7 linked regions of the Macaca mulatta genome follow. The protein of the gene in region 6 interacts with the protein of the main gene of each other region in a pairwise test. Links are inferred from orthologs where the notes say so. Each region holds a gene or a part of one and is shown on either strand. Other genes may lie near its edges. The genes, in order: NDN, BAZ2B, SYTL4, SRPK2, RALYL, FXR2 and BYSL.

Region 1 (3,734 bases), on a different chromosome or scaffold from region 6:
TTTATTAGGTTAATTAATCTCTCCAAAAGTAAGTTTCTTAATTTGCAGAATCAGAATGATATTGCTTTCTCCAAAATATCCTAAGAATTAGAAAAATAAAATTCCTAGCCTTTTTGTATGTGTGGCCCATGAACCCATGTGAGTGTGGGCTCCCACATGAAATTTCAATATAAAGTTAAAAATAAATAACCTAAAAACCACAGGGTGTAGGGGAGTTGAAGGCAGGTGGGGACAAATGTGGACTCTGGATTCATTGTGAGTTCTAGTCCTAGCGCCTTCTCTTATTAACCTGTATGAGCTATGGAAAGTCCATTACCTACATTATTCCTGTGTTTCCTCCATGGTGCAGAGGCAGTTCTTGCCTGCCTGACAGGCCTGTTGTGAGGATTAGATAAAAGGAGAAAAATACACGTCAGGGCTCATGTACAATGTCTCACTCTTTAAGTGCCCACAAAGCATCTATTAATTTTGATAAAATGTAGAAACTTAAGGGAAGGAAATTATTTTTGGTTTTTATTCCCATAGGATGTGATTATGGACAATCTTACTGTTTTGTTTTTTATGCTTTTCTATATTTGTGCATGTTTTTGAAATAAACATGAGTTAAAGACAAAACTACAAACTTCACAAATTTAGGAGTAATCATGAGTAGCGATTTTTCCCACCCCATTAGGGGAAATAGTTATATCTGTGTATACTGTAAAACAGAGAATTGTCTCATTCCCAACCATACTGCTTTGTTAAAATGATAACGTACACTTCCAGAAATGATTGTATCACAAGAATCTTTAATGTTTACTTTAAAGTTGACTCACGGTGGGGTTGTATATGTGTTTAGTAAAGTGTGCCAAGTGCTCTCACATTGAGACCAGTCCAGTTCAAATTAGTTTACTCCACGAGGATGTTTTCAGTCCCCAGCAAGGTCATGAGGGCCTTGACATTTCTTGGTTAGGCCGGCTTTGCTGGTGAGTTTTTCCAAACTCTGCAGGAGCAGTCTACCCCAACACACATCTCAGTCCCATGTAAATTAATAAGATGGAAACGTTCTCAATGTACTTCATCAGTTTAGCACGTCTCTGATACAAAAATCCAAGAAAGGTACCACAAAAGCGAAAGCACCAACCAAGCTTACATATAAACAAACATGCATACATCCTAAATACTACACAATAGTACCCAAATGAACACAACATTGCATTAAAGGTATAAAAGCACTGTACTGAAAACGTAAAAGTTACACGTGAATACTGCACTGTAAATCCTGAACACTCTAATGACCCACCCCCACCCTTCCACAGCCCTGGTGAGGATCAGAAAGCATTCATCTGCCTCCAGACTTGGCTAGTCCTCGGAGACACTGCTGCGAGGGCAGTGGGCAGCGGGATTAGCCTCCCGCAGAGCTCTGGCCTCCTCCAGAGCCTCTCTGTATCGGGAGGGCCAGGCCTGGGGGTCTTTCTTAAAGACCCTGGCCAGGAACTCCATGATTTGCAGCTTGGTGATTTCGCGGCTGGCCCGGGAGCCCCAGAAGAACTCGTACTCGGGCGGCTCCACGTACGGGACGCGCTGGTACTTCAGGTAATTCTGCTGGACGAACTCCTCAGTGATGAGCTTCCGCACGTCCCCGAAGGTGGAGTGCTTCTTCCAGGGCCGCAGCCCCAGGATGCGGAGCACGTTCCAGACCGCGCTCTCTCTGGCGCCGCGGCCCTTCACGTAGATGAGGCTCAGGATCATGAGGAGGAGACCTGTCATGGGCATGCGGTTGCTCAGCGCCACCCTGTCCAGCTCCTCGGGCTCCAGCGCTTTGACCAGCGCAAACTCCATGGTGTGCAGGCTGGTTAGCCTCAGGTGCAGCCCGAACACCCGGGCGAGGATGAGGCTGGTGCGCCGGAGGATGCTCCTGCACCACTTCTTGTAGCTGCCGATGACATCTTTCACCATGTCTGGAAACCAGATGATCATCTTCTTCTGGTCCTTGACCAGCACGTACCACATGAGCTCGTGCGCCTTCTGCACCAGCTGCGCCGGGGCTGGCGGGGCCGGGCCGGGCTGGGCCGCGCTCGGGGCCTGGTGGGCGCGGCCCTCCTCCGCGGCCTGCTGCAGGGCCTTCGGGTCGTCCTCGTCGCTCGGGGCCTGGGGAGGCTGCGCGGCCTGCGGGGCGGCCGTCGGGCCTAAAGGAGGGCTCTGCGGCTCTGCCAGGGTCTCGGACGGAGGAACCCCCTCCGGAACCCCAGGGCTGCTGTGCACCTCGGAGCTGGGGGCCTCGGCTGCAAAGTTAGGGTCGCTTAGATCCTTACTTTGTTCTGACATATCTGCGCCGTCTGGCAAGGGCAGGGCCTCTGCGTCCAGGAGCTCTTCAAGCCTGCGCTCCCTCCGCGGATTCCTGGAGAGGAAGTGCGCGTTGCTGTGCGCGGCGCCTTCCGCAGCGGCGGGCAGGGCGGGGCGGCGGCGGGACGCGGCACTGCGCCTGCGCGACTGCGGCCTTGGCCAGCGGCTGGGGGCGGGCGGGGCAGCGCGGAGCCCCGACGGGGAGGGTCCCTGGCTAAGCTTCACCTGCGGAGAGAGCGATCCCGGGGTTTCCCGTTTGGGCTGAGGGGATCTAGGGCAGGAGAAGAGTGCGATGGATGCGTACTGGAGAAGGGGCCAGTTTAGGAGAAAGATGATAACTTAAGTTTTTGGGATGTTGGGGTCAAGTTTCTTGGGAAACGCTTACCTGATATATCCAGAATTAAGTTAAATATGAGCGTCCCAGAGAAAGGTCTGGGCGGCTGTGTAAACTTGAGCTTTATGCGAACGAGTGAGAGGAACAGTCGGGCTTGTCCAAGAAAATGTGTAAAGTGTATGTCTGAAGTTGGAATCCTGAGAAATTCCAATAAAAAAATGATTGACTCCCTCCCTACCAAATCAGAGGGGTTGTAAGAAAAGGAGAAATGCAGCGTGTCCTTAACGTAATTTCCTGTCAACCCATGTGAACTATGAACCTTTTAAGTAGGCAGCGGACTTAGAGCATCATTAATGCTTTAGTGGGCATAAATTTGAGTTTTACATTTCCTTTGGGTCACTTTGATTCCATTTTATTTTTTTCCATACTTAGTCCACAGCAGAAGGATTGCTATATCTTTTAGCACAAACTTGTATAATAATGTCTTTTTCCCTCTGCCCAGCACCCTTATTCTCCGATTCACCTTCTCCCAGGACCCTCTCTGAAGCTACTGAGTCCTCCACGTTGGAAGCCACACCCAAGTCCTTCCTGAGATTTAAAAAAAAACAACTAGGTCTCATAGGTAATATCTGGTAGTGTCTCTGAGATGACCCAAGGGTAGCAGGGGCAACATGGGTAACCCTGTTTTCTAAGTATAGAAGACAGATTCCCACTGGGCAAAGACAAAACTCGCTCCTACAGGGTCTCCCTGAAAAAAGGGTCATTGGTGGAGCCTCTGAAACCAAGGGCCTTGATGCTGCTTCAGCATCCTTGGTCTGGGCTGATGTGGTCCTTCAGCGCTTCCAGCGTTTCTTCTCATCAGTAGCTTCTTAAATATGTTGAGTCTAATTATTGCCACTCGAAGCCAAAAGCACATTTAAAAATTGTCTTAACATGTCTAGAGTCCTCGCTGTGAGTATGTATCTTTTCCCACTTGTCACTTTATTTTTCCTCAAGCAGGTTGATGTTGAAGGGTTTTCTGTGCTCTCTCTCTTTGGGTTTGCATGCACATAACACTTTTGGCAGAGCCATTCCC
Region 2 (3,500 bases), on a different chromosome or scaffold from region 6:
AAAATATAGATGTATACAGTAAAATATTTTGTTATTTTACTTATTTCATTCTCCTCTTGTCAATTTCTAGCTTTGCTTTCATTTACCACATACCAGTATGATAGCCTACTAATTTTAGATGAGTTTATTTATGTTTGTGAAACTTGATCTCGGTCTTTGAAAATTTTTACATAAAATCATAATCCTGATCCTTGGTGGTTTAGGTTAATTAAAAGACCTGGTAGTGTTTTTGACTATGGATATATATGGACATAGAAATTAAATCATCTTTAAATGTATGAGCCAGCTGTTGAAATTTTTCAGCATCCGAAAACTCATATTTTCAAAGTCAACAATTTAAAAAAGTTTTCTGAAACCTCTTTCTGTCCTGCTTCTCTAGCCATTTCTTTAATAACAAAATGAGAGGAAAGGTATATATTTTTACCTTGAATTGTATTTTCTTTAGAGAGAAAAACTGGTTATTCTGTCATTCAGACCTAAAAGAACAAAAAAGCCCCCTGCCTTATACAGTGTTTTATTGAAAACCATCTAAAAATAATGTATAAATTATAGAAATACACTAAATAATCCAAGTCATTAACATATACTTTTTAAAAGAAAACTTTCTAAACGATCAAGATTATTATCTCTATTAATGAATTTTTTATATTAACCAATTGAATTTTTTTAAAGGCACTTCCAAAAGAAGAAGAGTAACAGATGAACGTGAACTGCGTATTCCATTGGAATATGGGTATGCAAAATAAGGTTTCCCTTTTTCTTTTTCCCCCATATATTTATGCACGTTTGATGTATACTTGATTTCTTATTCTCTACAATTAATAAAAGAAGTACATAGCTGCATAGTATTTATTAGAGCGGAAGAGCCAGAGCAAAGGGCAAGGAATTTGGTATATCAGAAAACTGAAATTAATCCTGTTTCCTGGAGGTATGGCAGAGCTGGGGTGGGATGATACAGCCAAGTAGGAACATGACTGATAAAGAACCAAGAGCAAATCAGATGGCAAAGGGCAGGAGTACAGTGAGATTGTGAGAAGTTTTTGTGAAGATAGAATTAAAGGACAGTAAAAGCTACTTTGGTCAAAATTGAGGGACTCAACCAGAGTTTGGCTAAAATGGTTTAATTAGAAATGACAGCTTTTAGACTGAATGTACGTGAACCCCAACCAGCAGAGAGCCAGGTTTACTTTACTCCTCTGTTAAAGCTTTTCAGATGTAAAAATCACTATACGTTGACACGTTACTGAAATGTCAGAGTACCCAAAGTAATCAGTTACGATTTCTAAGCATTTTGATGGAGTTTAATATATAAATTGAATAATTAATTTTTTAGTTGAATTAGCTAGAAATCTAAATAATTTTGACAGTTAATATATTTGGGTTGTTTGAGGAGTTTTTGTTTTCATTTTTCATGTTTTCTAGAGAACATGTATACTTTAACTTATTTTTAATTTTTAAAAGCTGTCTTAAAATTAAGTATGTTATAACCTTCATTTCTGTTATGTGTAGCTGGCAGAGAGAGACAAGAATAAGAAACTTTGGAGGGCGCCTTCAAGGAGAAGTAGCATATTATGCTCCATGTGGAAAGAAACTTAGGCAGTACCCTGAAGTAATAAAGGTACATACTTTTCACCAAATAATGTACATTTGGTGCCTATTAAGCATGATCATGTACAAAAAAAAAGTGTACTCCTTTCTCAGATAAAGTTCCTTGATACTAAATATTCTCTTGTATGGGACTATTGTACTTAACCTAAATTTATCTCCTATAAATTTATAGCCCCTTGATAGAATATGCAAAACATTAGTGTCCTGAAGCTAGCTATACATCAAAGCTGGGTTGTAATTATTAAAACCTGAAGTGGAAAAATATGTGATTTTTTCAGTATCTCAGCAGAAATGGAATAATGGATATCTCAAGGGACAATTTCAGCTTCAGTGCAAAAATAAGAGTGGGTGACTTCTATGAAGCCAGAGATGGACCGCAGGTATCCACTTTTTAAAAAGTATAGTCTTTGAACCAAAAAGTAGTACCATAACCTAAATGAAGTAAATTTCACTACACTCTGGAGCATTGCCTTTCTTTAATTAGTTCATATGGCTATACATATAACTTTGTGGTAAGCACTCATTAAGGCCTCAATTAACTATGTTTCAGTAACAAGGAGCTTTGACATAATAGGTATCTTTTTCATAAATAAGTAAATTTTTTCTGTTTTTATTAATTCAACCAATAACTTTACAATTTATATAGGTATAAAAGCATCTGCATATTCATATGAAATATAGGAAAACATTAGTTTCCTGAAAAGTACAGCTAGTTTTAAAAACTAATTTGAATATGAAGACCCTATTATAATCAGTCAGTCCAAAAGAGGATATATATGTCCTAGTGTTTTGGAAGAATCTTGTCCATTTGATTATCCCACACTATATGTTGCATTTTCACAAGTTTGATAAGTTTTTTTGTCATTTCTTAAAACTAGGTGAATGAAATTTCTGGTTTTTGCAGAAATTCAGTTTTTACATTAATTGGTGCACATTTCTGAACATATCACCACAGCTCCCTTTGAGCTTATAGTGTTAAGTATACATCCTCACTAGTCAGCAAAAAGAACCCACCAAGGAGATCTCATTTCCTATATGTTTTCTTTAATGCTTTCTCTTTGTTCCTTAGTTGTATTCAGCTGCATGTGCTTATTATTCCCTTTAGCTGCATTGAAAGGGGTCCCAGTTAAGGAGTGATGAGACCTAGATTCTTGTTAATCTGTGAAATACTCTTGTAATTCTGAACAGTAACAAAATAGTGCCCACTTTGCCCACAACTTTGTTATCTGCCAAATAGAAACAATTTTAATATATATAAATATATTACACTTCTGTCTCATAGGATTATGGCAAGATTAAAATGAGATCATATGCATAACAATGTTTCAAAAAGGCTAAAATGCTCAGCCACCTAAAGTTGATATTTTCCTTCTTCATTGAACCTGTCTCTCTTCTGTCCCATCATAATGCATAGAAAAAATTTTTTTGCCAATTAATATTTTCTTTGTGAATAGGGAACTTTTCTATCCTATCTTACCCTTAAATTTTATGATTTAGAAATGGAAAAGGTCTCCCTCATTCTGTAAGAGGTTTATTTTGAGTTTGGAAGCTTAAAGGAGTTTTTTAAGGTCACACACAAGGCTGAGACATAACTAGAACTCAAGGTTTCTGAAAAAGTAATCTTTTGCATACATCATGTAACCTATTTTCTATTGTAGTCCATGACTTTTAAAGAAAGAAGTTATGTCCAGATCTACCTGTCTCTTTATTGGTAGTTCTAAAATGTCAAAATGTGTTTATCTGAGATTTATAGAAATATATGGAAATATATTCTAGGGTTTTCTATTTTTTTAAACAAAAAAAATTTTGACTTAGACTAAATCTGTCACCAGATTCTTAGAATTTTAATGAACCACAGTGTTACACATTCTATATACACTGCATCAGTTTTA
Region 3 (3,500 bases), on a different chromosome or scaffold from region 6:
CCCTGCCGCAGCCTCCAGAGTAGCTGAGATTACAGGCACCCGCCACCACAACCGGCTAATTTTTGTATTTTTAGTATAAACGGGGTTTCTCCATGTTGGCCAGGCTGGTCTCGAACTCCTGACCTCAGGTGATCCACCTGCCTTGGCCTCCCAAAGTGCTGACATCACAGGCGTGAGCCACCGTGCCCGGCCTCATATCCTTCTTTTTACATGTCTTCCCATTTCAGGGTTCCCAGCTCTATTCCAACCATCCTTCTCATATCTCAAAAGAATAAGATAAGAATATTTAATGTTTTTCATAGAAGCTATAACTCTTTTCCATTTGACTTTCCCCAACCCTCTTTACATTTTAATCAAAAGAAGTATTTATTTGAGCCCCAGCCATATATCCAGCAATTTATTAGAAAATAAAAGAGATGGCCAGGTGTGGTGGCTCACGTCTGTAATTCCAGCACTTTGAGAGGCAGAGGCGGGTAGATCACTTGAGCCCAGGAGTTCCAGACCAGGCTGGGAACACAGTGAGACCCCCATCTCTCAAAAAAAAAGAAAAAAAAAAGTAGCCGGGTATGATGGTTCACGCCTATAGTCCCAGCTACTCAGGAGGCTGAGGTGGGAGGATAGCTTGAGCTCAGGAGTTCAAGGTGGCACTGAGCTATAATTGTGCTACTACACTCCAGTCTGGGCAACAGAGTGAGATGCTCTCTCTTAAAAAAAAAAAAAAAAAATTGGGAGGCCGAGGCAGGTGGATCACCTGAGGTCAGGAGTTTGCGACCAGCCTGGGTCACCTGGCCAACATGGTGAAACCCCATCTCTACTAAAAATACAAAAAATTACCCGGGCATGGTGGCGCACACCTGTAATCCCAGCTACTCAGGTGAGACAGGAGAATTGCTTGAACCCAGGAGGTGGAAGTTGCAGTGAGCCAAAATCATGCCATTGCACTCCAGCCTGAGAAACAAGAGCGAAACTCCGTCTCAAAAAAAAAAAAAAAAAAAAGAAAGAAAGAAAAAGAAAACAGAAAAAAAAAGAGATAGCAAAGACAGTCCTTTCCTTTAGAAACTTGGGGGTATCAAGTTTCATGTTGCCTTTTCCTAAATAATTAAATAGGTTGATTGAGAATATCAGGTACTAAAGCCAACTCCAGATAAGTAAAATTTCATGTAGTGACCAAGTAAAATATAAGGGCACCTACCATATCCACATTGAGGCCTGGGACGGATTTGCTTCTGTCTCCCAAGGAGCCACTTTCATGTCCCACATCTTCTGGGCGAAGATCTATCACAGATTTAGTGTACTCTGAGGGGAAGACCAAAAAAGCCAAATCAAAGAGACTTATTCATACCAAGAGCCCATCAAGGGTACTCAGAACTTCAGTCTCAAAAGACCAGTAAGGAAAACCAGTTACCTGAAGGCCTGAGGATTTTTCTGGTGTTCTTCTTAAATATCATCTCACCCTCATCCACAAATACCACATTTTGACCTCCAGGCTGAGTTTCCTAGGAAGGAACAAGGGCAAGAAAATGGAAAAGGACAGATGGATAGGAAGAAGGAGTGAGTAAGGAATGACAGTCTTAAGAAGAATAAGGCTCAGATTTTCGCTAAACTACGACAAACTTAAAGGAAAGATTAAATGCCTAGAAATAGTACAAAACCTATTTTCTCACACATTTCAACCAAAACTTTAGAAAATGCTCCCAAATGAATCTGAACTGAAATTTGTTTAGTTGAAATTCCTGATTTAAATTCTGCCTAAGAGAATGGAGGGAGGGAGGGAAGGAAGAAAGAGGAAGAGAAGAGTGAGGGGGAGGGAGGGAGGGAAAGATGGAGGGAGACAGGGAGGTGAAGGAGGAAGGGAAGGAAGGGAGGAAGGAAGGTGGCTCAATAACCTGAAACTTACCTTTTCTACTCGAGATTTGGGAGCAGACATCTTCTTCCATTCTGGAAAGAGGCCAGATTTATCCAGAGAGTCTCTCCTGGAGGTAGATTCAGAAGTTATAACTAAGTCACCTCCTACCCTTCCCCTTCTACCCAGGAATCAAAGCTCTATGGAAGGAGAGCCAGTGGCTTGGGTCATCGTAATAACCAAATTCAGAAGATACACTTCGCATGTGATTTACCTGGGAGGAATGCAGAAGATCAGAGAGGCAACTTTGCACAAACACAAACACTCATACCCTCATTCTTAAGGGACAGCAGCATCAGTTGCTACTGGGCTAAGAAGAATACTCCAAGGTACTGGGGGAACTGACTAGGGATGCCAATATGTTCCAAGAAGCTGTGCTCAGAGCCAAATAGGTAGACGTGCTACTTAAAAGACTTCTGGTGAGGACACAGAAAATACTTCGTTCAACTTCCTGAGGACAGAAGTCAGGAACACTGATGATGCAGAACAAAATCACAACTTGGGTTTAGAGGAGATGAGGGAAATGGGGGGAACCCCACCTGGAGGTGCTATCCGAGTCAGCTGTGAAGCTATCCAGACTCTCACTCTCAGCTTCCAATGCACTCTTTCCACTTTTCAGCTTTGGCACTTCAAATAGCACACTAGAATAAAAACCAAGAGCCAATATTGAAAGGAAGCAGGTTCTCCTGCCTCTAGTCAGGCCTCTTTCCAATCCATTCACAATCGTAGCCTGAGTGATCTTTCTAAAATAAATATGAGTATACTTTAAACATATAATAAATAAATAAATTAAGAAATAGGGTCTCACAATGTTGCCCAGGCTGGAGTACTGTGGCTATTCACAGGTACCATCATAGTGCACAACAGTCTCTAACTCCTAGGCTCAAGCAATCCTGCTGCCTCAGCCTTCTGAGTAGCTGGGAGTACAGGCATGTACCATGGTGCCCAGCTGGGTACTTTTTTGTTTTTTGGTTTTTTTTGAGACAGAGTCTCACTGTGTCTCCCAGGCTGGAGTGCAGTGGCACGATCTCGGTTCACTGCAAGCTCTGCCTCCTGGGTTCACGCCATTCTCCTGCTTCAGCTTCTAGAGTAGCTGGGACTACAGGTGCCCACCCCCAATGCCCGGCTAATTTTTTTGTATTTTTAGTAGAGACACGGTTTCACCGTGTTAGCCAGGTTGGTCTCGATCTCCTGACCTCGTGATCCGCCCGCCTTGGCCTCCCAAAGTACTGGGATTACAGGCATGAGCCACCGCACCCAGCCCTGAGTATACTTTTAAAACTCTTCAGTGGTTCCCCATTGCTGTTGGGATTTAGCTGAAACTCCTTAGCATGGCAAAAAAAAAATCCTCATGATTTGGCCCCTGCTCACCCTCTCCAGCCTCATCTTTCACCCCCTACTCCTCCTCAAGCTTTATATTTTAGAAAAACAAAGTTATTTTGTTTCTCTGAATATCCTGAAGCTCTCCATCTTCCCTCTTTTATCTGTCTAAGATATTCTTTTCACAATGGCCACTTTTTTTCACCTGGCTCAATCTACTCCTTCTTCAGGTCTCTCCTTATATGTCAATTCCTCCAGATCTCTCTGGCCACGCCCC
Region 4 (3,500 bases), on a different chromosome or scaffold from region 6:
ATCAGCAGCTGCTCTTCAGTTTCTGTCTGCATCGTGGCGCTTTTCAAAAAGAAGAGGTACTACCTCTGCGATTGAAGAATTCCCGAGAATATTTTCCAGATAGAGCAAAGTGCCTTGGAATACTGCCTAGCAGCTCTATGATGTGGGCTATGTGGTCTATGGAGGAGAGAAAAAAGGATATGGGAATGGGAGGGGCAAAGGGAAGGATGGGATAAAAGAAGAGGGAAAAATTGAAATTAGTAAAAAATCAGAAATAGATTCAAATCAACAGTGTCTGCAGCACATCCATGCAGAGGCTTGTAGGAATGACAGGCCTCAGGCACCACCAGGAGCAGTAACAGTGACTGAGGCCAGCTCACCCCAGGCTACCCCAGCATCGCAAGCAAATAAGCATGGAGATGGTCAGGTTTACAGATGGAATTCAAGCCAGAATTCCTGGGTTTTCAACTCAGCTCCCAAACAGGACAGAGAAATGGGCAGCACATCAATGGTCGAAAGGACCACAGAGAGGTTTCAGGTCTGTATCATCTGTCCTCTCTCAGACAGCTGGGTTCCTGCCCTGTGCAAGGCCAGGAAGAGCCGCTGGTGTAGGCCCCTGAGGGCTCACTGGAGTGCTGCCTGTACCAGGCAGGCTCTGCCCATTCACTGAGACTGAGGGGGCGTCAAACTCAAAGGAAAAGCATCTGAATTTGGTGTTTGAAAACCAAAAACATGGCTCTATTTCAGTACAAAAATACAGTACTCTACAGAAGTTCAGGGCTGGCAGGAGACCTAGAATGAGGTATTCAGCAGGCACTAATACTCACCTTCGTCTCTGGAATAGTCTTCCCCAGAATGTGGTTCAAACAAATAATCTCCCGTTGCCAGCTCAAATGCCTAGGATACAACAGACGACATGCTAAGCACTTCAGAGACTGGCCCCCAAGTCAACAGCTTTTTCTCCTTACAGAAGAGACCGCCACTTTATGAAGATCTGAATCAAACAAAATCGCCTCCCAAAAGTGCTCAATACTAATTTTTTTCTTTCTTCCACATTCAAAGAAGTTTCAGAAGTATTTTTACATTTCTTCTAAGGAAAGATATAAGAGCTATGTATTCTGTTCATTTTGCAGGAAGCAAAACCAAACGTCAGTGATTCAGCCGCACCTGTGTGCAGGCCTGGCAAAGCACAGTATGCACTCTATAAACGGTAGAACGAGAGTTCAACCCAGGACTCAACCAAGCCCATCTGACTCCAGCACCTGCCTCAACCACTATAATAGCCTTGGCCTCTGTATAGCAGACACTGCTGCGTCCTTTAGGCAAAGACCTTCATGTTTTAGTAACCGAGGACTATTTTCAGCATCTCATCATCTATTTTCATCATCATCTCATTCACTTCTGATTCAACCAAAGGAAAACCTGGAAACAAAACAGACCCTCTTTGTCCCCAGGGCCAGAGGACGCAGATGGCCTTGCAGACCCTTTTGTAGATGTCACGGAGCACTGGCTTCCTGGGTGGCCACTGGCTGTCCCTCAGCATGCCAGTATGTAGGGAAGGCCATTTGTTCCCATTTCCCTTGCTCACAAAAAAACCCTCAAGAACATGAGTTTAAGCTGGTAACAATATATAAATATGGCAACTGCTACTGCTCTGCTGATCAAAGAGTATGTTTTAAAAGCGAAAAAAAGAATAAGCTAAATCCCATTTCTGGTTTTTCTCATAGCTGCTTCTATTCTGAATGGATCTTGCTATCCCAAAAGGTGTTCAGAAGCCCAATCACTGATGCCTGTGGATCTGTGACTGCCCTCCCCACTCCCGCCCCCAGGAGCCAATGCTGGGGCAACTGCACTGCATCAACCTACCTTCTTTTTCTTTCAATGACCACACAGTGTTGGGAAGGAACCCTTAAGGGAAGACTCACCTGCCTGGGTGAGGGGGCACCTCTCCTAGCACTGTCTTTAACAAACCAAGAGTGGGACAGTCAGCCCAGGACCACATCTTTTCACCTTTTTTTTAAAAAAAGACTGCATGTGAATCAGTTGAAGGAAGGAAGCATGGTGACAAGATGACTGCCAGCTGCCCAGGCGGTAAGCATTAGTTTATGAACTCAGGATCCTGCCCTGAACCTGGCATAGGTCTGAGCAGGACACAGACACGTCACATCTCAGCATGGTGAGCTGGTGGTCCCAGCACTGTGGATGCCCGAAGGCACCAGCAGAAAACGCAGGAAGGCCCTTACGTAGGGCCTCTCCTTTCCACTCAATAAACAAAAAAGACAGCTGGGCCAATCCCAGGTGAGGGCAGGAAAACCTCATTATTGGCCCCAAATCCAAGTGGAACAACTAGATTACACACTTAATGGCCAGGAGAGTCCTTCCAGCCTGGGAGACAATCAACTCAGTATCTTACAAGCTAAGAGAAAAATCTGAAAACTCTAATGGGACAACGAGGACTTGAAAAGCTTGGATCAAGTTCCAAGCTGCTTTTCAACCCCTGCCTTGAGCCCTATGCTAACTCTTTTAATTAATTTTCAAAATGACTTCGATCAGGTCACATCCATTTCTTTTCCTTTCATATTTTTTGAGATGGGACCTCACTATGTTATCCAGGCTGGACTCAACCTGTTGGGCTCCAATGATCCTTTCTCAGCCTCTAGAGAAGCTAGGACTACAGGCGCACTACACTGTGCCCAGCTTTGTACATATTTCTTACCGCCAAAATATGTCAGCTATGTATTCTTTGAAAAAATGATCATTTTGATTAGCACCCTTATATTTCCAAGAAAACATGTATAGAAGCCAATCAATGAAATAATTTTTCTTTTTTTTTTTTTTTGAGACAGAGTCTTGCTCTGTCGCCCAGGCTGGAGTGCAATTGCATAATCAATCTCAGCTCACTGCAAGCTCCGCCTCCCAGGTTCACACTGTTCTCCTGCCTCAGCCTCCCGAGTAGCTGGAACTACAGGTGCCCCCCACCACGTCTGGCTAATTTTTTGTATTTTTAGTAGAGATGGGGTTTCACCATGTTAGCCAGGATGGTCTCGATCTCCTGACCTTGTGATCTGCCTGCCTCAGCCTCCCAACATGCTGGGATTACAGGCGTGAGCCACCGCGTCTGGCGAAATAATTTTTTTTTTTTTAAAGGAAGAAGGAAGATGCAGGCTGTAATGCTACCCGTTTTTGGTTCTTTGGAGAGTGACTAGATTCTCTTAACAATACAACATGTACAGCAGAGCAAATGCACACTACAATGAAAAACCTCTGCCTTCAACTCAGGTACTCCCAGTATAACCTTCTATTGCCCAGGCTGGAGTGCAGCAGTGCAATCTTGGCTCACTACAACCTTCGCCTCCCGGGTTCAAGCGATTCTCCTGCCTCAGCCACCTGAGTAGCTGGGACTACAGGCACGTGCCACCACGCCCAGCTAATCTGTGTATTTTCAGTAGAGATGGGGTTTTGCCATGTTGGCCAGGCTGGTCTCAAACTCCTTGCCTCAAGTGATCCACCTGCCTTAGCCT
Region 5 (4,043 bases), on a different chromosome or scaffold from region 6:
TTTTTTGTTTTTTGTTTTTGTTTTTGTTTTTGTTTTTTTCTTTTTTTCCACTTCTTTGATTATTGTTTATATTTGGGAAAGCTGGAGGAGCATGATTTTGAGCCTTTTCCTGAATCCAAGTTTTTCTAGCATGCGATCGTTCTGTAGACAAGGCGCTGTGTCTCGGAGTCCGCGGCGACCGTGCCCGCTGGGAGCGTCTCCCAAGTCCAGCAAAATGTGCAACTGGTTTTATGGAAAAAGCGATGTGAAGTATGGTGCCTATTTTTTTCCTTTGTAAAAATAAAAAGCATGTTTCTAACTCTTTTTTTTGCATACTCTTTTTCTGATAACATTTTTGTATAGGTGGGATTTTACGGCAGTGTTTACAAGTTTGTGGTCTTGCAATACTGGTGCAAACCACTGAGCAAAGACATTAATTTTATATTTTTGTGCCCTTTTTGGAAGCCGGTGAGAACAAATTCGTTTTTTTCCCTCCTGTTTTTGATACCCATTGATAACATGAAACTTTTCTTACAGCTGGTGACTGGGATCATTTTTAAGCAAAATACTTTTTTCCTCCTTTAAATTAACTATGACTTTTGCACATTTGACTTTTTTAAAAAAACCGAGATAATTTTATGATAGATATCCTGATATCTATATCTATATTGTCCCTTATTTCTCCCCCTTCCCTCCCCGTAAATCAATTTTCAAATGATGGCAGTGGAAGGTTTTTCTGGAAAAAAAAAAAAAAAAAAAGAAGTGCGGTTTGGTTTCCTTGTCAACGGAGGATGAAGTGAACAGCTGAGCAGCTCGCAGAGAGCAGGTACTTGGTCCCCTTGGAGGCGTTTCCCGGGTGTGCAGTGGCAACACTGGTCCTAGCAAAGAAATGTGTGAGTGTGAGTGTGTGTGTGTGTGTGTGTGTTTGCGCGCGCGCATCTCCGGGCAGTGTCCGCGCCGGAGGTGGGGAGAGCCGCGCCGGGAGCCAGGGAAAACCAAAGTCAGTTCCCGGCTTCAGGATCGTTTTCTAGATGTGCACAAAATACAGTCCCCTCCCCCCACCCCCCACCGTGAGCTGCGCCCAGGTCATCTCCCGGCTGGGCGGGTGGTGTCTGCGCTGCGGGCGGCGCCGGCCGGGCACTAGGTGGCCAGCGGGCCCTGTAAGTTCTCCGAGGGCCACTTGCACAGCAGGAGGGGCGAGGGCCGTGTACGTGGCGCAGGCCGTCGGGCCGGCTAGAGGGGACCCCCAGAGCACCCGGGAGATGGGGGAAGAAGCGGCAGAGACCGCATCTTCCGGAGGGACTGGCTCCAGGCCACGCGGGCCGGAGCTCGAGACATTTCCAGAGCCTTGAGGATGGCACCGGCCCCCGCACGCTCAACTCCTGCTCCTCCTCTTCGCAATGAGTAAACGACGCAGTAGGTCTTTCCCAGCCTATTTTGCTTTTCCAAAGGGCTTTGCTTTCTTAGTGGTGCTGTCTTTGGATCTTTTCTTTATGCCTGTTGTGTTGCGTTGGTTTTAAGTGCCTGCTGGTGTCGTCTTCCAGGGAATGGGGAAATAGTTTCTTATAAGATGGTCACTTGGGTTTAATGTTGAGGACGACGCTGTTAGTTTGCAGTAATGACCCTACAGCTCTAAGGTATAAAAATGCCCCTTATTTAAATTTTATTAGAGGGAGAGTTTTCCCTCTTTTTAACCACCTAATACTGGCTCTAAAGGTTTTCCCCTGAGAACTGTGTACAGGGCAGGAGTGAGGGGTTAGTGATAGAGGTGATGATTTCGTGTGTTGGTAGCATTGAAATACTCAGTGTTGAATGTATTCTATTATATTTTATGATTATCCTGTTACATGTTTTCAATATAATTTAGCATTACTTTTCAGAGATGGACCAGTTCGCAATAAAAAGCCTTTTCTGTATTTAACACTGTGACAGAATCTGCTGGAAATTTTTCTGTCCAAATAAATTTCGTAAAGGCATACATCTTAAAATCTGGAGAGTCACCATTATTTAAATACTTTGATTTTCTTACCTTTCCCCCCCTTAAATGAAAAGCTTAGCTTTAAATTATCATGTGTATGTAGTTTGGATTCTGTAAAATAAACATAAGGCAAATGAAACAACTTTTTACCTCTCGGATGAAGTTTTCTTCTGGGTAACTACAGAAATAAAAACTGACTCCAGCATACAGAGGGGCCCATGACAAAGGGGTTTATAACATACACTGGCTTTTTCAAGCAAATATTTCACTGTCTGTAACCTCAGTTTGTGGAATGAAAAGTTTTATGCCTTATTTTTTACTCTTTGTGGTCAAAAAGTAAGGAGTGCAAAGGGCCATTTATCTGTAGAAGATTAAAAGTTAGTGTAATATCTGGAAAGCTATATATATTTTTTATTCACAACTCATGCAAGTATCTCAAAAGTCTTTGGACATTTCATTGTATGTGAGGTATTTTGTTCTCACAGTAGCTTTTCCCTGTGAAGGAAATCCTCTTGCGTTTATATAAAGAAGATAGTTTATGTCACTGTCTGTGGACACCATATTTGATATCTTGATGTGTATAGTTCTAAGATTTGAAGCCAATATGATGGCACTAAGCCTGAAATTAGGATTTTCTTATTTTGTATAGTGAGCTAATTACTAAAATATATGGTTCAAACAGCTAACATATGGTTCAAATAGCTAACATAAAACATTTAAAAAGCCATTTGCAACATTCTGTGATTTTAAAAATCATTTAAATTATAACAATGTATGTACATAGAAGTGCTTATTTATTAAAAAGCAAGACAATTTGTGTGTATAATATATTTTTGTATGTTTTATGTGTTGTATGTCGTTTAGTTCTTTTAAGAGAGAGAGAGACAGAGCAAGCAAGCAAGAAAGAGCTTGAGTGATCGAACCTGCATTTTCATTAAGAGTATCAGTTGCTGCCCTAAGGTAGAGGTAGTTTGTGTCTTAAGATTGGACAAAACACTAGCTGTATTGTATGATCTTTCCCAATGAGATTGAAACCATTAATGGGACCAAAGACGATTTTAATGTGAGGACAGACAGGTAGTTGGGCTTTAATTTCTGTAACTTAAGACCGTTCTAAGAACCTTTGGTTATCTATGTTTTCATTTATTTAAGATTCATTTTTGATTATATTGTATACTTGTATTACATTTGTGCCTATTACATTCAAAATTTTCAAATTTCTTCCTGTGTGAATCATACTGGGAATTCTACAACTCTTAAACTGGCCACCTGTTTAGTTTTTGATTTAAAATTGTTGAAGGTAGTATCCTACATTTAGCACCGCCTACTGGCTTCTCGTGGAAAAAATACATTTTTTCATTCGCCAAGAAACCCACAGGGATTTACATCAATTTAATTGTGCAGATCTTTTCAACTGCTTACTGAGAGAGAAGGAGGGAAAAAAAGTTTGTATGCTGTAAGGAGAGAGGGTTTCCAGGGTAAAGGCAGGGACCGAGGGAAAGAAGACCCACAAACTAAATTGGCATTGGATCACTATCTGACCTCAAACATTTTACTGTCTAAACTGTGACAAAGAAATAATCACAAAATGAAAACTATTAAATTTTCTAGGACTTTCTATGGGATAATAAAATGTGGGTATTGTTTAAAATCTTGGATTACTAAATTAATTTTACAGTGTCTTTCTCAATCGATATAAAGAAAGAAAGTTCTAGTTGGAATTCTGTCTTGAGTGTGTGGTCTGTCGAATAATATTTAAATGAATAACTTTTCATCATTGAAGATTAACAATTAATTATTTTTATATGTATTTTTCATGGACATAAACAATCACGTAGCACCCTAATTTTTTTCTTAACATGCATCAAATAGTCGCACTGTGTTGTTGTATATACAAGGGGGAAAAGTTCCAAACATACAATTATAAAGACACATCCTTAGCCATAATAGATGCGTTACCTTTCTTAAAAATGATAGTTGGTTTATTTTCTCTAATTTGTATGAAAGTCTAGTGGCTGAAAGAGCTACTATAATAATACAAACAAATGATGCCTTCAGAATATAAAAATTATTAATTAGAAAAATA
Region 6 (4,000 bases):
GGTACTGAGAGTGGAAGATTAGCCTGAATTTAGGGATTTGTGGTTTTTAACTCAGGAACGGGGCAGAAAATGCTAACCTGCCCAGATCCACATTACCACATTACCTGGCTTTCAGCTCAACCCCAGACTCTACTCTCTGAATCAGAGTATCCTGGTCCCGATGTACTCAAGTCTATCATTGCCCACAGCGCACAGGAGAAAGGGAAAAGATTCAGAGAGACTTTCTGCTGGACACTTATATGTAGAACAGAAAACGTGTCCCTTCCCAGCCATCTCATACAGTTCATTTGAACTGGATACCAATCTTTCCCAGCTGTGCAGGGCTCCTGTGCTTCCTAGAACAAAGCAAACATCATATCTTGATCTTGGACTCAACTTAAGAATGACTTTTCTTGGAACTCAGAATTTTGGGGTGGTAAGGACCCAGATGAAGGAAAAGATACCGAGGGAAACAGGGAGGGCCACTTTAGGAAGCGTATTTCAACAAAGGTAGTACAAGTTTGGGGAAAAGGATATGAGAGACAAATGTGCTCTATCAAAAGCAGAAAGGAATTAGAGACTTTTGCCAAAAAAAACAGAAATGCTATGGAGGCAGGCTAGAAGAAAAAGTCCCAAGAGTTAGGCAAGTATGCAGAAAATGACAAAAGAGATCAGCAGGGAGCTTCCTTCAGCTAGACAGGGAATTAGGTGATCCCTGGGGATTACACAGGAATACAGAAGTATTAGGAGAAAAAGCCAAAAACTTGAATTGAAACAGTAAGTTAGACATGGGTACCCAAAGTCACCGCACAGAAAGAAATCTGATGAGGGAAGTAAGGCAAAAATGGGTAAGTATGAAGAGTAAGTAAAAAATGACTACAATGGCGCGGTGGCTCACGCCTGTAATCCCAGCACTTTGGGAGGCTGAGGCGGGCAGATCACAAGGTCAGGAGATCAAGACCATCCTGGCTAACACGGTGAAACCTCGTCTCTACTAAAAATACAAAAAACTAGCCGGGCGTGGTGGTGTGTGCCTGTAGTCCCAGCTACTCAGGAGGCTGAGACAGGAGAATGGTGTAAACCTGGGAGGCGGAGCTTGCAGTGAGCCCAGATCGTGCCACTGCACTCCAGCCTGGGTGACAGAGCCAGACTCCGTCTCAAAAAAAAAAAAAGACTACAATGAACTTAGCAACTGAAGTAGAGGCAGAAACCACCCAAGGGAAATTACAAGACCCTCTACAGTTACAGAAAATATGACTTAGGGAAGGAGTCAAAGAAAGACACTTCCAAGGGCATGAGAAACTAGAGAGGGCTACTGTGGGGGGGAAAGGCCTGAGGGGAACAGAAGGAAAGGGGGAAGGGGGATCTACTCTTAACAAGTAATGCCATGGGAAGGTATCTCTTCTACAGCTCCCCAAGGTGAAATCAAAGAATGAGACAGAAATCAGGAGAGTCTCTGGGACAATTCCAGGCATCAAATCCAAAAGAGGTTCAGAATAGCAACAGTCAAAGAAAAACTCTTGGGAGGCAAGAAAGGGTTCTCTCTGGCTTAATCCAAATGGGAAAAAAATGTCCTAGAAAATGGATTCAGAGCAGATAAGGAAGGTGGTATTATAAGGAGTTCTAAGGAACCAAATCCTGGGCAAAGGGGGAGGTCAAATAAGGAAAGGTCTTTGAAAGATGATCCCTTCTTCCAAAAAAGGTTGTCAGATTCCCGAACTGGGATAGTTGGCCAAGAGTCTTCAAGAAGTGGAAATCTTAAGAAAAACAGAAGGGAACCCCATGAGCTTCCTTTTAGAGATCCTTTTAGAGATCATGACTATGAAGCTCACATGCCTCAAGACGAAGAAACTCTAAGAATGACCTGAAGGTATCTGAGGTCTAAGTGAGACCTCAAATCCATTCTGAGTAGAATGGTAACCAGTGGGCCTTGAGATCAAGGTGTGGTGGGGTGAAAGACTTGCGAAAGATGCCACCTTATGGCTGGCTGAGAAGCAACTTGACTGATCCAACCCAGGGTTCCTGAGGTCAAAGATGCCAAACGTCGTAAATGGATCTGACCATTTCTCCTTGGCTTGGGAACCGGAATATAAGCTGAAAGTGGGGTGAGTGTTCCAGAGTCAGTAGGCAGAGGCCTCTCTGAGGAAGATGAAAGGATCCGATATGGGACAGAGGGGGCCTTCCCAAGGGGACCGTGCAGAAGAAAGACAATTCTCCATGTGCCTGGACCGTGGGGAAGATGTGATTAAGGTCTAAGGTATGTCTTCCATCAGACAACGGAAACAGTCAATTAGAAGCTGGGTAAAGGGGTCTCTCCTGGGGAGCGGGGAGCGCCAAGCCAGGGACAATAATGGCCTTAAGTTCATTCTCCCTGAGATGGGGGTAGAAGCAGGTGCATTAAAGGGGTCAAAAATAAAAGGAACAGGTTCACTCCAAGAGGTCTCTCAGGGAAGGCTGCGGGTGGGAGCAAGGGTCTAAGATTCTAAGGGCCAGGACTCAGCTCCAGAAGCTCGATCCCGCCCCACGCGTTCCTGCTCCGGCCGGGGGAGGGGGCTAAGGACCGGCGTCCCCAGTCGGCGCGCCGTCTCACCTTGTAGAAGGCCCCGTTGGAGCCGCGCACCTCGACGGGCAGTCCCGGCTCCACATCCCCCCCAGAGGCCAGGCCGCCCATGGCGCCGCCACCGCCTCCGACTCCCCCGGCGGCGGCTGCAGCAGCAGTCTGAGTGCGGGCCGGGCCAGGCCCCCGGCGTCTCCCCGGAGGAGGAGCCGGAGGGGGAGCCGCGGGGGGCGGGAGCCGGGCCGGCCCCACGGCGGCCCTGCCACAGCCAACGAGCAGGGGGCCGGGGCCGGGCCGCTCCCCGTCCGCCGCCGCCGCCTTGGTCTCCGCCACCGTGAGGGAAACGGCCGCCGCCGCCGCTGCCTTCGTCACCTCAGCTTCCGCCTGCCGCCGCCCCCGCTGCTGCCTCAGTCCCGGGACCCGCTGCTGCCGCTGCCGCTCCACAGCCTCCACCTCCCCCTGCCACCGCCTCCTACTGCGCAGGCGCACCGGGCACCCGCCCGCTGCGCGCGGGGCCCCGAGGGCCACGGCGCAGGCGTCAAGGTTAGAGCCCCAGCTAGCGCTAGCCAGCGCATCGGGGCTTCCACATTCCCTTTCACTCTCTCACGCCCCCTCCTGGTCGCTTTCTCGCGCTTGCGCAGAACAAAATTAGCCTTCTTTCTCCACCGCCCCACCGCCCAGCAGCCCCGTCTCTTCCTTTCCGCGCCCCACAACCCTGAGAACCAACCAATCAGAGGGAGGGAGGGGCCGGGCTCGCTCAGTCCGATTGGGCGGCGGCCGCACTGTCACACAGCGCTCAGGCCACACCCACGCCGCCGCCGCCTGCCCCACCGGGCTCGGACAAGTTAGGGATGGGCATGCGCCTGAACGACTGCTTGGTCACTTTCCCCACCTTTGTCTTTCTTGGTGCGCACGCTCCAAAAAAAAAAAGAAGAGAAGTCGCCGCAAGGAAAAAGGTGCTCGGTGCGCACGCGCTGAGCTTTACTGTCTGCGCGCATGCATAGCCTATCTTTTAAGAATTTGTAACTGTGCTGTAGTAGATTTAAGTCATAGCTCTTGCCTTGAAGAGATTGTGATACAATGAAAGTTTTGGCCAGGAGCGGTGGCTCACGCCTGTAATGCCAGCACTCTGGGAGGCCAAGGCGGGTGGATCACCTGAGGTCCTCGGATCACCTGAGGTCAGGAGTTCGAGACCAGCGTGGCCAATATGGTGAACCACCCCACCCCCGCATCTAATAAAACACAAAAATTAGTCGGGCGTGGTAGCACGCGCCTGTAATCCCAGATACTCGGGAGGCTGAGGCAGGAGAATCACTTGAACCTGGGAGGTAGAAGTTACAGAGAGCCGAGATCGCGCCATTGCACTCCAGCCTGGGCGACAGAGCAAGACTCCGTCTCAAAAAAAAAAAAAAAAAAAAAAAAAAGAAAGAAAGAAAGAAACGAAAGAAAGTTTTAAGAATAGTA
Region 7 (3,500 bases), on a different chromosome or scaffold from region 6:
CCAATTAGAATGTAAGCTGTATAGAACAAAGTCTTTTGATTTCTCTTGTTCATGGATATATTGCCAGCACCCCCAACAGTGCCTCACATATAGTGTAGGTGCTCAGTGTTTGCTGAATGACTGGGTTAATGGGTAATGAATGATGGTCAGGTAGGTAGGAGCAAACTTGCAAAAGATTTAAAAACCATCCTTACAGCAATAGGAAGAATGGAAAGCTACTGGAGAATTTTAAGTATAGGGCTAATCAAATCAAATATGTGTTTCTGGAAGATTACCGTCTGCAGAGTGGAAAATGAGTTGGAGGGAAGCAAGGTCAGAAACATGGAGATGAGTGGGTGACTGTTGAATAAATCCAGGCAAGAAATGATGCTGATCTAGGCTTAGATGGGGCTGTGAAGCATGTGAGAGACAGTCTATGAGGTAAAATTGAATAGGATTTACTAATTGATTGGGTGTTGAGGGTGAGGGCAAGGGATGAGGCAGGAGCGCCTCCCAGGCTTAGCACTGGGTGGACAGTGGTACCATTTACTGAGCTGTGGATGGTTAGCATTATAGACCTAGGAGGGAAAGAAAATTAATATAGTTGATGACAGGTGAGATTTGAGGTGACTGTGAGTCATCCAAGAGCGGCTGTACAGGAGACACCTGGAGTTAGGGTCTGGCGCTAAGGAGAACCACCTACAAAGTACACATTTGGGAGATTGTTGGCACGTGGAGACAAAATGTCTGTTCCCCCTTAGCGTTTATCACATACTGCCACTGCCTTTGTTGTTAATGACCTATTGATACATAACATTATAGTTCCCCACTTGGATTATTAGCCCCCCTTTCCAGATGCCCAGACATGTAGCCTTCCAAAAATGGAAGTTATTTAAATGGACTACTTCATTTATTTTATTTATTTATTTATTTATTTATTTGAGACGGAGTCTTGCTCTGTCGCCCAGGCTGGAGTGCAGTGGCGCAGTCTTGGCTCACTGCAAGCTCCGCCTCCCGGATTCACGCCGTTCTCCTGCCTTAGCCTCCCGAGTAGCTGGGACTACAGGCGCCTGCCACCATGCCCAGCTAATTTTTTATATTTTCAGTAGAGACTGGGTTTCACTGTGTTAGCCAGGATGGTCTCGATCTCCTGACCTCATGATCCACTCGACTCAGCCTCCCAAAGTGCTGGGATTACAGGCGTGAGCCACCACACCCGGCCCTTTTTTTTTTTTTTTGAGATGGAGTCTTGCTCTTTGGCCAGGCTGGAGTGCAGTGGCGCGATCTCGGCTCACTGCAACCTCCAACTCCCTGGTTCAAGCGATTCTCCTGCCTCGGCCTCCCTCCCAAGTAGCTGGGATTACAGGCGCACGCCACCACGCCCAGCTAATTTTTTGTATTTTTAGTAGAGACAGGGCTTCTCCTTGTTGGTCAGGCTGGTCTCGAACTCCCGATCTCAGATGATCCACCCACTTCGGTCTTCCAAAGTGCTGGGATTACAGGCATGAACCACCATGCCCAGCCAACTTCATTTATTTAAATAGACTGGTGGATTGAAATCTGAACTCCACTGCCTGACTTTAAAGGCCCTCCAGTCTGGCTTCACCTTTCCCACCTACCTAGCATTATTTATTGCTATTGCCTAGGAGACACTTAAATCCGAAGCCTTATTTTCTCTGCGTCTGGAACACACTCCGCCTGCTCCCAAACTGCCCATCCAGCGTCTAACTGTCCTCGCCACTCATCCTCTAAGTGCATATGTCGTCTCTACCACTCATTGTGGCATATAATCAAACCCTAATATGTGTAGAATAGTGGTGAAGAATGCAGTCTAGATCCAGACTACCTGTCTTGGGCAAATTATCAACTTTTTGGTGCTTCAGTGTCCTCATCTGAAACTGGGTATAATAATAGTATCCGCGGCCGGGCGCGGTGGCTCAAGCCTGTAATCCCAGCACTTTGGGAGGCCGAGACGGGCGGATCACGAGGTCAGGAGATCGAGACCATCCTGGCTAACACGGTGAAACCCCGTCTCTACTAAAAAAAAATACAAAAAACTAGCTGGGCGAGGTGGCGGGCGCCTGTAGTCCCAGCTACTCGGGAGGCTGAGGCAGGAGAATGGCGTAAACCCGGGAGGTGGAGCTTGCAGTGAGCTGAGATCCGGCCACTGCACTCCAGCCTGGGCGACAGCAGACTCCGTCTCAAAAAAAAAAAATAATAATAATAATAGTATCCGCTTCTTGGGTTTATTTTTATTTATTTATTTATTTATTTATTTTTTAAGTTTTTGCCAATGTTCCGTAAGAAGGTTTATTTATTTTTTTTTAATTTTATGTATTTTTTTTTTTGCCAGCATCTCACTGTCGCCAGGCTGGAGTGCAGTGGCGTGACCTTGGCTCACTGCAACCTCCACCTCTTGGGTTCAAGCAGTTCTCCTGCCTCAACCTCCCAAGTAGCTGGGACTACAGGCACGCACCACCACACCCAGCTAATTTTTGTATTTTTAGTACAGACAGGGTTTCACCATGTTGACCAGGATGGTCTCAATCTCTTGACCTCATGATCCGCCCACCTCAGCCTCCCAAAGTGCTGGGATTACAGACGTGAGCCACCACGCCCTGCCACTTCTTGGGTTTGTAAGGATTAAACAGTTAACATGGGTACAGTGTTTAGAAGTTCCTTCTACAGGCACGGCGCGGTGGCTCACGCCTGTAATCCCAGCACTTTGGGAGGCCGAGGTGAGCGGGTCACTAGGGGTCAGGAGATCAAGACCAGCCTGGCCAATGTGGCGAAACCCCGACTCTACTAAAAATACAAAAAATTAACTGGGTGTGGTGGCGGGTGCCTGTAGTCCCAGCTACTTGGGAGGCTCAGGCAGGAGAATGGCATGAACCCAGGAGGCGGAGCTTGCAGTGAGCCGAGATTGCACCACTGCACTCCAGCCTGGGCGACAGAGTGAGACTCTATCTGAAAAAAAAAAAAAAAGAAGTTCCTTCTACATAACTGAGTATGGTATGTTAACTATTACTTATGGCCATTTCTTTCTCATTGTTTCCTGTGTATACGTTTTGTTTCTCAAGCATGATTGCAAGCCCCTGGGGACAGGGAGCTAATGCATGCCTCATTTGTTTCACTGCACATACCTGTGTCTATCACAACCACATGTGAGGCCTGTACTACATAATGACTAAAGTTAAACTGACTAAATCCCTCAGCTACCTTTTGCTGTGCTCATCCATTTAGTCTCCTCTCTTCTAGGTCCAAGAATGCCTCAGGATGGATCAGATGACGAGGATGAGGAGTGGCCCACCCTGGAGAAGGCTGCCACAATGACAGGGGTGGGCCACCATGCAGAGGTGGTCGTGGACCCTGAGGATGAGCGTGCCATAGAGATGTTCATGAACAAGAACCCTCCTGCCAGGTAGGTCTGGGGATTTGGGATAATGGGTGCTTGTAGAAAGTTCCCACAGGAAAACAAGTTCCCTGGCAGACTTACGATTCCCTACTTTAGGAAAGGGCCC

Evidence for each region.
Region 1: the proteins of FXR2 (region 6) and NDN interact in a two-hybrid assay, tested with the Homo sapiens proteins (2 studies listed by BioGRID and IntAct). The link is inferred for Macaca mulatta from reciprocal best matches to the Homo sapiens genes FXR2 and NDN.
Region 2: the proteins of FXR2 (region 6) and BAZ2B interact in binary tests that used the Homo sapiens proteins (3 or more experiments, as listed by UniProt). The two-hybrid records come from large-scale screens. The link is inferred for Macaca mulatta from reciprocal best matches to the Homo sapiens genes FXR2 and BAZ2B.
Region 3: the proteins of FXR2 (region 6) and SYTL4 interact in binary tests that used the Homo sapiens proteins (3 or more experiments, as listed by UniProt). The two-hybrid records come from large-scale screens. The link is inferred for Macaca mulatta from reciprocal best matches to the Homo sapiens genes FXR2 and SYTL4.
Region 4: the proteins of FXR2 (region 6) and SRPK2 interact in binary tests that used the Homo sapiens proteins (3 or more experiments, as listed by UniProt). The link is inferred for Macaca mulatta from reciprocal best matches to the Homo sapiens genes FXR2 and SRPK2.
Region 5: the proteins of FXR2 (region 6) and RALYL interact in a two-hybrid assay, tested with the Homo sapiens proteins (2 studies listed by BioGRID and IntAct). The link is inferred for Macaca mulatta from reciprocal best matches to the Homo sapiens genes FXR2 and RALYL.
Region 7: the proteins of FXR2 (region 6) and BYSL interact in binary tests that used the Homo sapiens proteins (3 or more experiments, as listed by UniProt). The two-hybrid records come from large-scale screens. The link is inferred for Macaca mulatta from reciprocal best matches to the Homo sapiens genes FXR2 and BYSL.

Annotation. Positions count from the first base shown.
Region 1 is NC_133412.1:6,264,488-6,268,221, reverse strand, and holds NDN (necdin), read right to left. Parts: upstream 2,422-3,734; 5' UTR 2,308-2,421; coding exon 1,342-2,307; 3' UTR 501-1,341; downstream 1-500. UniProt on the Homo sapiens protein: Growth suppressor that facilitates the entry of the cell into cell cycle arrest.
Region 2 is NC_133417.1:64,255,072-64,258,571, reverse strand, and holds part of BAZ2B (bromodomain adjacent to zinc finger domain protein 2B), read left to right. Parts: intron 1-672; coding exon 673-733; intron 734-1,509; coding exon 1,510-1,618; intron 1,619-1,886; coding exon 1,887-1,988; intron 1,989-3,500. UniProt on the Homo sapiens protein: Regulatory subunit of the ATP-dependent BRF-1 and BRF-5 ISWI chromatin remodeling complexes, which form ordered nucleosome arrays on chromatin and facilitate access to DNA during DNA-templated processes such as DNA replication, transcription, and repair.
Region 3 is NC_133426.1:107,544,590-107,548,089, forward strand, and holds part of SYTL4 (synaptotagmin-like protein 4), read right to left. Parts: intron 2,545-3,500; coding exon 2,443-2,544; intron 1,974-2,442; coding exon 1,898-1,973; intron 1,497-1,897; coding exon 1,406-1,496; intron 1,297-1,405; coding exon 1,193-1,296; coding exon of another isoform or gene 1,187-1,192; intron 1-1,186. UniProt on the Homo sapiens protein: Modulates exocytosis of dense-core granules and secretion of hormones in the pancreas and the pituitary. Interacts with vesicles containing negatively charged phospholipids in a Ca(2+)-independent manner.
Region 4 is NC_133408.1:144,711,940-144,715,439, forward strand, and holds part of SRPK2 (SRSF protein kinase 2), read right to left. Parts: intron 877-3,500; coding exon 807-876; intron 157-806; coding exon 64-156; intron 1-63. UniProt on the Homo sapiens protein: Serine/arginine-rich protein-specific kinase which specifically phosphorylates its substrates at serine residues located in regions rich in arginine/serine dipeptides, known as RS domains and is involved in the phosphorylation of SR splicing factors and the regulation of splicing.
Region 5 is NC_133413.1:94,791,488-94,795,530, forward strand, and holds the start of RALYL (RNA-binding Raly-like protein), read left to right. Parts: upstream 1-1,243; 5' UTR 1,244-1,379; coding exon 1,380-1,395; intron 1,396-1,538; exon of another isoform or gene 1,539-1,616; intron 1,617-4,043.
Region 6 is NC_133421.1:9,102,900-9,106,899, forward strand, and holds the start of FXR2 (RNA-binding protein FXR2), read right to left. Parts: upstream 2,801-4,000; 5' UTR 2,651-2,800; coding exon 2,570-2,650; intron 2,237-2,569; exon of another isoform or gene 2,189-2,236; intron 1-2,188. UniProt on the Homo sapiens protein: mRNA-binding protein that acts as a regulator of mRNAs translation and/or stability, and which is required for adult hippocampal neurogenesis. Specifically binds to AU-rich elements (AREs) in the 3'-UTR of target mRNAs.
Region 7 is NC_133409.1:140,247,021-140,250,520, reverse strand, and holds part of BYSL (bystin), read left to right. Parts: intron 1-3,237; coding exon 3,238-3,400; intron 3,401-3,500. UniProt on the Homo sapiens protein: Required for processing of 20S pre-rRNA precursor and biogenesis of 40S ribosomal subunits. May be required for trophinin-dependent regulation of cell adhesion during implantation of human embryos.